2 linked regions of the Callithrix jacchus genome follow. The protein of the gene in region 1 interacts with the protein of each later gene in a pairwise test. Links are inferred from orthologs where the notes say so. Each region holds a gene or a part of one and is shown on either strand. Other genes may lie near its edges.

Evidence for each region.
Region 2: the proteins of AP4B1 (region 1) and TEPSIN interact in binary tests that used the Homo sapiens proteins (3 or more experiments, as listed by UniProt). The link is inferred for Callithrix jacchus from reciprocal best matches to the Homo sapiens genes AP4B1 and TEPSIN.

What each region holds. Positions count from the first base shown.
Region 1 is NC_133508.1:151,876,264-151,880,068, forward strand, and holds part of AP4B1 (AP-4 complex subunit beta-1), read right to left. Parts: intron 3,460-3,805; coding exon 3,235-3,459; intron 2,446-3,234; coding exon 2,315-2,445; intron 1,948-2,314; coding exon 1,800-1,947; intron 949-1,799; coding exon 452-948; intron 1-451.
Region 2 is NC_133506.1:136,913,278-136,917,655, forward strand, and holds the start of TEPSIN (AP-4 complex accessory subunit tepsin), read right to left. Parts: upstream 2,888-4,378; 5' UTR 2,866-2,887; coding exon 2,818-2,865; intron 1,518-2,817; coding exon 1,325-1,517; intron 1,051-1,324; coding exon 959-1,050; intron 790-958; coding exon 696-789; intron 1-695. Other genes in the region: NDUFAF8 (NADH dehydrogenase [ubiquinone] 1 alpha subcomplex assembly factor 8), read left to right, coding at 3,193-3,276, 3,398-3,628. UniProt on the Homo sapiens protein: Associates with the adapter-like complex 4 (AP-4) and may therefore play a role in vesicular trafficking of proteins at the trans-Golgi network.

The sequences.
Region 1 (3,805 bases):
GATTAACAGAGGACTTAGAGTCAGGAAAGCTGGATTTCAGTCCGATTTCTAAAACTACATGCCCTTTTGGCAATCTGATAACTGTTTTTGTGCCTGAGTTTCTTCGTCTTTAAAATGAAGTTGACGACATTTATCTACTTTTCCTGACTGTCGTGAGACTGTGGTAAGATGAAATACAGGAAAGCGTTTTGGATAGAAGACAACAAAAATTTTAAGTGTTGTAGTTTGAGTTACCTGTATTCGCCATCCTGAAAGATACGGCAACAGCAGTCTTGACCAAAAAAAAAAAAAATCTCTTTCCCCTGTTTGCAGTTACTGATCCAATTATTTAGTGCATAGCATTTTGCTTCTGAAGCAAGATTTATGCCCTTTGCCCTCTATGGTTCCTCTAACCACAGCTTTCTAGCTGACTGGTCCCGGTTCTCTAGAAGGAAAAGCAGCAGACACCTACCTATGGCAAAGATGGCAGCCTGTGCAAAGTCAGCAGACACATCCGTGCAATACCCTCGGAGCTCCTCTAGCACCTGCTGCACATTTTCATCGTTCACCAGCTCACACAGCACCTCCACTTTCTGTAGTTTGATGTAGTGGGGCTCCGAGTAGGAGCAAAAAAACTTTTTGTAGTGGCTGCTAAAGTGACCTGGCAAACTATGCAAGATCTGGCGTACATGACAAAGAGCAACAAAACAGAGCTCACGGCTCTCTGAAGAACAGGCAGCTAGCAAAGGCCCCTTGACCCGCACAAGCACATCAGTTTGGACGTGGGGAAACTTTTTTGCCAAGATCAGAAAAAGTTTGGTGGCTCCCATCACCACACCTGGGCTTCCACTCTTGAGAAAACTGTCCAACAGATTGAGAATGTCAAATAGTTCTTCCTCACTGCGGGGTTGGTAGCGTAGCAGGAAGTTCAACACTTCAGCCTGGCCCCATTGGTCCAATTTTGACATTCTATCAAAAAAATGAAACAAGAGCTATTTTAGCAACAAAACTAGGACCATCTCCATGCCAATGCCATATGAGCAGTTGGTTGTTCACCATAACAAAGGGAGAATTCTTAAAAATAGGCTGTGAGGGCCGGGCGCAGTGGCTCATGCCTGTAATCCCAGCACTTCAGGAGACTGAGGCACGCGGATCACCTAAGGTCAGGAATTCGAGACCAGCCTGACCAACATGGTGAAACCTGGTCTCTACTAAAAACAGAAAAATTAGCTGGGTGTAGTAGCAGGTACCTATAGTCCCAGCTACTTGGGAGGCTGAGGCAGGAGAATCGCTTGAACCCAGGAGGCGGAGGTTGAGTGAGCTGAGATCATGCCATTGCACTCCAGCCTGGGCTACAGAGCAAGACTCTATCTCAAAAAACAAACAAACAAACAAACAAAAAAAATAGGCTGTACCATAATCAAATCATTCTTTTCATGTACTATTTAAAGTTTCCACAGAATAGGCTTAAAATTCCAAGATGAGTACACATGCACACTCATCTAAGACCAAAGACATGATCAGCATACACTACATATACTAGGTCCAGGTTCTCTACATTTTAAGATGCTATAAATGGCTTAGTTTGAGGGATATAATGACTAGAGAAGAGTAGAACCTATTCCCACAGGATATTTCTATTTCCCTGTATCAATAAGGGAAACTAAGGCAAATAAAAGTTCTCTCAGTGAAATGCAAGGGAGTTAATAATAGTTAACTTTCTTTTCTACCACACATAAGTTGTTCAATACTTCAGTAAATTAACAAGATCCCACAAGGACGCAGATCTCATAATAAAAAGAGCACTGAGGCATCCAAACCGATTTAAGAGATGGTGGGCAATGGGCTTATTGATGACAATGCCTCCTTCCTGTTTCAGAATTTCCTCTAGAGACCTCAAGCAGTTCACAACCACAATTGGATCCTGGTCACGCAGCAAACTGTATAATTCATTAACAAGGGCACCATCTATAAAAAAGAACAAAGATAAAGAACACAGTGTATTTTCTTCTTCAGATAAAGAAGAAAAGCTTCAGAGTAACAGGGATAGAGCCAGAGTAATAGCTCCAGGCAGACAAAATTGAACTTCTCTGCTACAAAAATGACAAAAGCCATACTAAAGTATAAGGCAAAAAAACTGCCATGTCCAGACTGTTCTAAGCAGCTAATATCAGATCTCACCAGAGCCCCAGAAGATACCAAGCCCTGCATCACACTTAAAGAGATATATACAGAACTAGGGCCACATTATTATTTTCAACCAAAGCCACATATTCTTTTATAAAGTTATACGTAAGAGAGGCACATTGGCCATGATGGATTACACGGAACCTACCCACTTCAGAGTCTCCATGAAGATTATGCATCTTGGCACATCCAAGGACTGCCACTCTCCTGACATATGAAGCCTTATCACGCAGACCATTGAGAATAGGCTGTTGTATATACTCCTGCACACCAGGCATCCTAAGCAACACATTCTGGAGTTAGCCAGATCCTGAAATACTAATTTTGACATATATCAGCCCTGTTCACTTAACAGAGGGTTTAGCAGATGCTGCCTCTATCAGATCATGAAGAATTGCAGAGAATCTCTATCAAGTTTAAAAAGCCATAATTTGACTTTTCTGTTTTTTTCTTGTTTTTGTTAGAGATGGGGGTCTCACTTTGTCACCCAGGCTGGAGTACAGTGGCCTGATCATAGCTCACTGCTGCCTTGAATTCCTGGGCTCAAGCCATCCTCCTGCCTAAGCCTTCCAAGTAGCTGAGACTACAGGTGTGTGTCACCATGCCCATTTAATTTTTAAATTTTTTGTAGATACAGGGTCTCACCATCTTGCCCAGGCTGGTCTCGAATTCCTGGGCTCAAGAAATCTTCCTGCCTGAGTCTCCCGAAGTGCTGAGACTACAGGCATAAGCCACCATACCCAACCTAATTTGACTTTTCTTTTTTTTTTTTCTAATTTGACTTTTCATTTTGAATGCTGCTGCACAGGCAGCAAAAAAGATACACATGTAATTGTTTAGAAATATTTAACCAAAACTGAGGACTATTTTATTGAGGGTAAGAATGAAAAACTCCCTCTAATAAAATTGTATGATACAGGTTATCAGGCCAAAGCAACAGCTGAAAATCTGAGTTCAGCATACAATAGTGTTTTCCCCAGTATTAAGGAGCTCAAATAAATTGTGCTCTTTAAAAATCTGCCCTGCTGAGGCAGCCATTGAAGACCATACACAGAAGAGGGTACTCACCTGAGGCTGCACATGCTCCGTAACGCCAGCCCTCGCACCATTGGATTGGGGTCTGAGCAATCTTTGCACAGTGTATTGATGGCCAGGAGAGCCAGATCTGGTTTTAGGGGAGCATATGTGCACATGTACAGATAAACCAACTTCTTCTGGACAATATCTACAGTGGCACTGGCCTTCACCATTTCCATAAAAACACCAGACATGTCCAAGCCCTGAGTCATGTACCTGAAACCAACACACGTGTTAGAAAGAAGTAAAATACAAAATCTCCAACTTACAATGGAGGGAGTTTTACCTATATATCTCCTGGTTACTCAACTAGATTGTGATCTCTTAGATGGTAGCAGCCAGGAATACCTTGTCTATTATATCACACAATACTTCATACCATAGGCCTGCAATAAACATTATTCTTCTATTCATTCAACAAACACTTATTGAATTCCTAGTACACTTTGGTGAAATTCAACTTTTACATGCCTGGATGTAATATCCAGGGCTATGCTCTGGGAACATAATCTTGAAGAAGGTGTGGTCTCAGACCTCTGAGAACTACAAATCTATTAATGAG
Region 2 (4,378 bases), on another chromosome or scaffold:
TGGCACAAGAGAGACTCAGTCTCCCCCCCCGGAATTCCCTTTGGGGTGGCAGGGGGCAGGGGATCTAAGCACGGTGCGCCCCAAGGCCACCTGGAGCCAAGCCTCCCTCCTCCCCACGGAAGATATCATGCCTAGCCCCCATAAATACTCATTAGGCAGAGGCACACAGCACTGCCCCCCGCCTGGGGGATGACTCTCCCAGACCCACCTGCTGCCTGGACAGACCGGCCTCCCAGCCCTACCCTACCTCTGTCTTGGGCTCTGAGGAGCAGCCCTAGGAGGAGAACCCATGGCTCAGGGAGGACATGTGAATAGGCATGGAGCCTGCTACATGTGGGTGCTGGGACGGGGGGGGGGAAGACCCTGGGGGCACACAGAAACGAACAATGGCACCCAGGTAGCAAGTGCAGGGACAGATGCAGCCGAAGGCCCAGGGATGCATGGCAGGCACACAGGACGCAGCAGAGGGAGGGGCAGGGTGCATGGGGGAGGCCGAGCCAGCCAGCTGGGGTGAGGGTGGGCCGCAGGTGGAGAGGCCAGGGATCCACCAGGATCAGCAAGGTGGGGTGGCGATCAGGACCAGGCCGGGGTGAGGGCTCTAGCTGATGTCTTTCTTCTCAAGCTTGGAGGATTCACCACCCTCCCCCACTGTCCACGGCCCTGGCTCTTCTGGAGAGCATGCATGGCCCCAGTACCTGCAGCTTCCTGGATGAAGGTGGAGTTGCGTTTGAGGATGAGCAGGAAGGAGGAGGACCCGTGGCTGCACAGATAGAGCAGGATCTTCAGCACCTGGGGAGTGGGGCGGTCAGCGGTGCTGGGCAGGCCAGACACCAGGGAAGGGCCAGGGGCGCCCCAAGGGCACAGAGCCACCAGCCATCCTACACCACTCATCTGCTCCTCCAGCCTCAGCACCGTGGGCAGGGGCTCGGGCCTGACCCTTGACCACCCAGGGGCTCACCTTGAGCTTCCCATGGCCAGAGCTGCTGTGCAGGCGGGTCAGGAGGTACTCCACCAGGCACTGGCTGCTGCCCAGAGACTCATGGGAGATTTCTGCAGCACACTCGGGTTAGGGAAGGGAGATGATAAAGGGAAAGGAGACGTGCCTGGAGGCACCTGCTGCAGGCCCTGCCATCAGGAGCGCTGGGGCTTCCAGGCTCTCCTGAGCCATCAGTATCACAGCCTTCAGACCCCACCGGTGCCTGGTTCCAATGATAAAGGAGCTGCAGATCCCTCTAGGGACAGCAGAACCCCCAGTGACCCTTTGCCCCACACCAGGACCCTGCTATCCGCTCTTGCCCCACACAGGGACGTCGAGGAAGGATACTAGCAATCTCTTCAAACAGGTAGCCAGGACATGGGACGTCATCATCCGATGTCCCCTTCAGGAGAATCGGGAGCTGAAAGGGAACAAGAGCCTCTGCAGTGATGAGGCGCCATTTCCCACAGCGGTGAGTCCGCAGCTCCCAAAGGGGATGGAAACGGCCCACTTCTTGCTGTTGACATGGCCGGAGAAAGGACTGGGAAGGGACGAGAATGGTGCTATGGGCCACAGGGAGCCTGCAGCAGGGTCCTCTCTCAACTGTCAGGGACGAACAGCCTCTGAGAAGAGGCAAATCAATGGTGGTTCTCCAGGGAGGGGCTGCGCCACTTGGGATAAGATAGGACACAGCCCCCAGCCTCCTTGCACTTCTCAGCATGTAAGGCTATTTGAAGGTACTTCTATCTACCTACTGACTAGCAAAGCCAAACAAGGCTCAGGCAAGCCCCTTTTCCACGCAGGGGACTATGGATGGCTCCCGCTCCCTAGAGCCTGGATTGGCAGAGTGACAGAGCCCCTTGGCCTGACTGGCTCCCTCGATCCTGAGAACCGAGTGACGCCATGTGTTTTATGTTGCTCGCTTAATGCAGAAGTCCTTTTTTCTTTTATGCTTCCTTACTGGCAGGAAGACGTATGGTTTATGGGGTGAAAATTGGAAACGCTCATTCATGCATTATTCAGCAACAGAACAGAGGAGAGGAGTTCAAGCATATTTAAGAGGACAAGCATGGGACTGACTCGTGAGGGCCGAGATCTAGTGACAACACAAAAAAACGTGGACCTTAAGTGTTTCCCGAGGCTGTGGACACATCACTGACATTCTGCCCATCAAGCCCTAAGGGGAGCTGAGAGGTTTGCAGGTGACGGCTGACGACTGCAGAACGCAGCACAGAACGACTCTGTCCAAACCCTGCACGGAGAGCTTGACCAACCCTGGCATGGCTTCTGGCAGCCCAAGGCCGCGCCCGGGACTACCCAGCCCCCTCTGAGGTCCACCCTAGGAAAGCTCAGGGCTGACAAAAGAAGACAGTTTGCTCTGGACGACACCTGGGGACTGGCCCCGACCTCTCCTTCTTAGAGAGTTTACTAAGAGGGGCTTACAACGGTGCGTCCTTCTCTGTCCCTTCGAGATGTCTGTGTTCTCGGCAACCCAGGGGTGCCTCTCCAGGACCGGAGCCCTCCTCTGAAATGCCACCGTCAGCCCACCGGGCGCCGGCAGCGTGGAGCGGCTCCACGTCCACCGGGTCCGCCGCTCCTTCCTGTCTGTCGGAGGCCACTGAATGCTGGCCGAGGCCTATTCTCTCCCCCAGGGTCTGCCTGTGCCCATCGCCCTCGCGCTCGGCGGGTCCGGCTTGGGAGGCCCGGGGACAGCGCAGCGAAGGGGCCAGGAGCGGCTACCCAGGGCGGGGACGCAAGGTCAACGGCTCCGGCCCGGGGCGAGCGGCGACGGAGAGGACACGTGGGGTCGGAGCCGGGGGCGGGGGGCCGCTCCCACTCACCCGGTGCAGAAAGCTCAGGCGGTCCCGCAGCGGCGGCACTGCCGCCATAATGCAGGTCACTTCCCGGTCCGCCCCGCTTCCGCCAGGCCCGAGCCCTCCAATCACCGCGCGCATCCTACTCCGCTGCCCAGTCCCTCGTAGTGGGACGGGCCCTGAGGTCGGCTTTGTAAATAATTTGAGTCTAGGCCAATCCGAAGTCCCATGGCAGAGACAGACAAGGACAAAAGCCAATTGCAGGGGGCTCAAGGCCAGGAGACGGCAATTAAAAAGCTCAGGAAAGATGATGGGCGGAAGCGCCGACCTATCAAGCTGTTTGACACCGGAAGAGGACGGACCTAATATGGCGGTGTCCAGGGGCTCTGGGAACAGAGGCTCATGTCGGCTAACGGAGCGGTGTGGGGCCGGGTGCGAAGCCGCCTCCGCGCCTTCCCTGAGCGGTTGGCTGCCTGCGGGGCCGAGGTGAGGAGCCCTGGGCAGGCCAGTGCTGCGGGGCAGGAAGGGCCGAGCGGGGCAGTGATGGGGAGGAAGGGCTGTGACGGGGACAGGGGAACCCCACTACCCACGCGCGTCCACTCCGCAGGCCGCGGCGTACGGCAGGTGCGTGCAGGCTTCTACGGCCCCGGGCGGCCGCCTGAGCAAGGACCTCTGCGCGCGGGAGTTCCAGGCCCTGCGGAGCTGCTTCGCCGCCGCGGTAGGTGGGCGCGGGCCCCTCCGAGCCCTTCTCCTTCAAGAGCCGGCGGGCCCCGGCCGTCCTTTGCTTCCCCGTGGTTCAGAGTTTGAGCCGCCGCTGCGTGCTTTAGACCCCGGCTGACCAAACCACCGAGCCACTGACAAGCCCGCGAAATCTCGGCGGTCCCGGGTTTGTGCCTGCATGTTTGTAAAGCGGGACTGGCACCAATCTCAGAAAGGATGGGGGATGGGTGCACGAAGGCGCCTTGTCAAGCGCGTTAAGTTTTCGTGTTGGCACTGCCGCCGAGGGGTGACATACCAGCATCGACCCGATACAGGACTCCCAGCAAGTACCCAGCACCTTCTGGGTCTTCACCTCCCCGGCACTCGCAGCCCCTGTGCAGCTGCGGTGGTGGATTCCTTCAACCTGCCCTGCCGGGCACCCCTGCCACCCTCACAACTGGCACGATGGGCTTCCTGACCGTGGGGCTTTAAGTCATTCTGAGGCTGCTTCGTTAAGTGTCAGCCTCACTGGGTACCACCTCGGGCGCCCCAACTCAGTGTGTCTGGGTGGGCTGTGACGCCAGTGCTGACTCTGTTTACCGGGAGTTGTCAATCCAGAGATTTGGGCCAGAGAAAGGTACTTGAATAAAAGCCCCACAGCCTTCATTCCTGCCTGCTCCCAGCAGCCTTGGATGCAGGGGTGGGTGACTCATCAGAAGTTGCACTTTTGCTGGGTATAGTGGCTTACACCCGTAGTCCTACCATTTTGGGAGGCTGAGGTCACTGAATTGCTTCAGCCTAGAAGTTTGAGACCAGCCTGGGCAACATACAGAGACCCCGTCTCTACCAAAAAAAAAAATTAGCCAGGCATGGTAGTGTTCACCTGTAG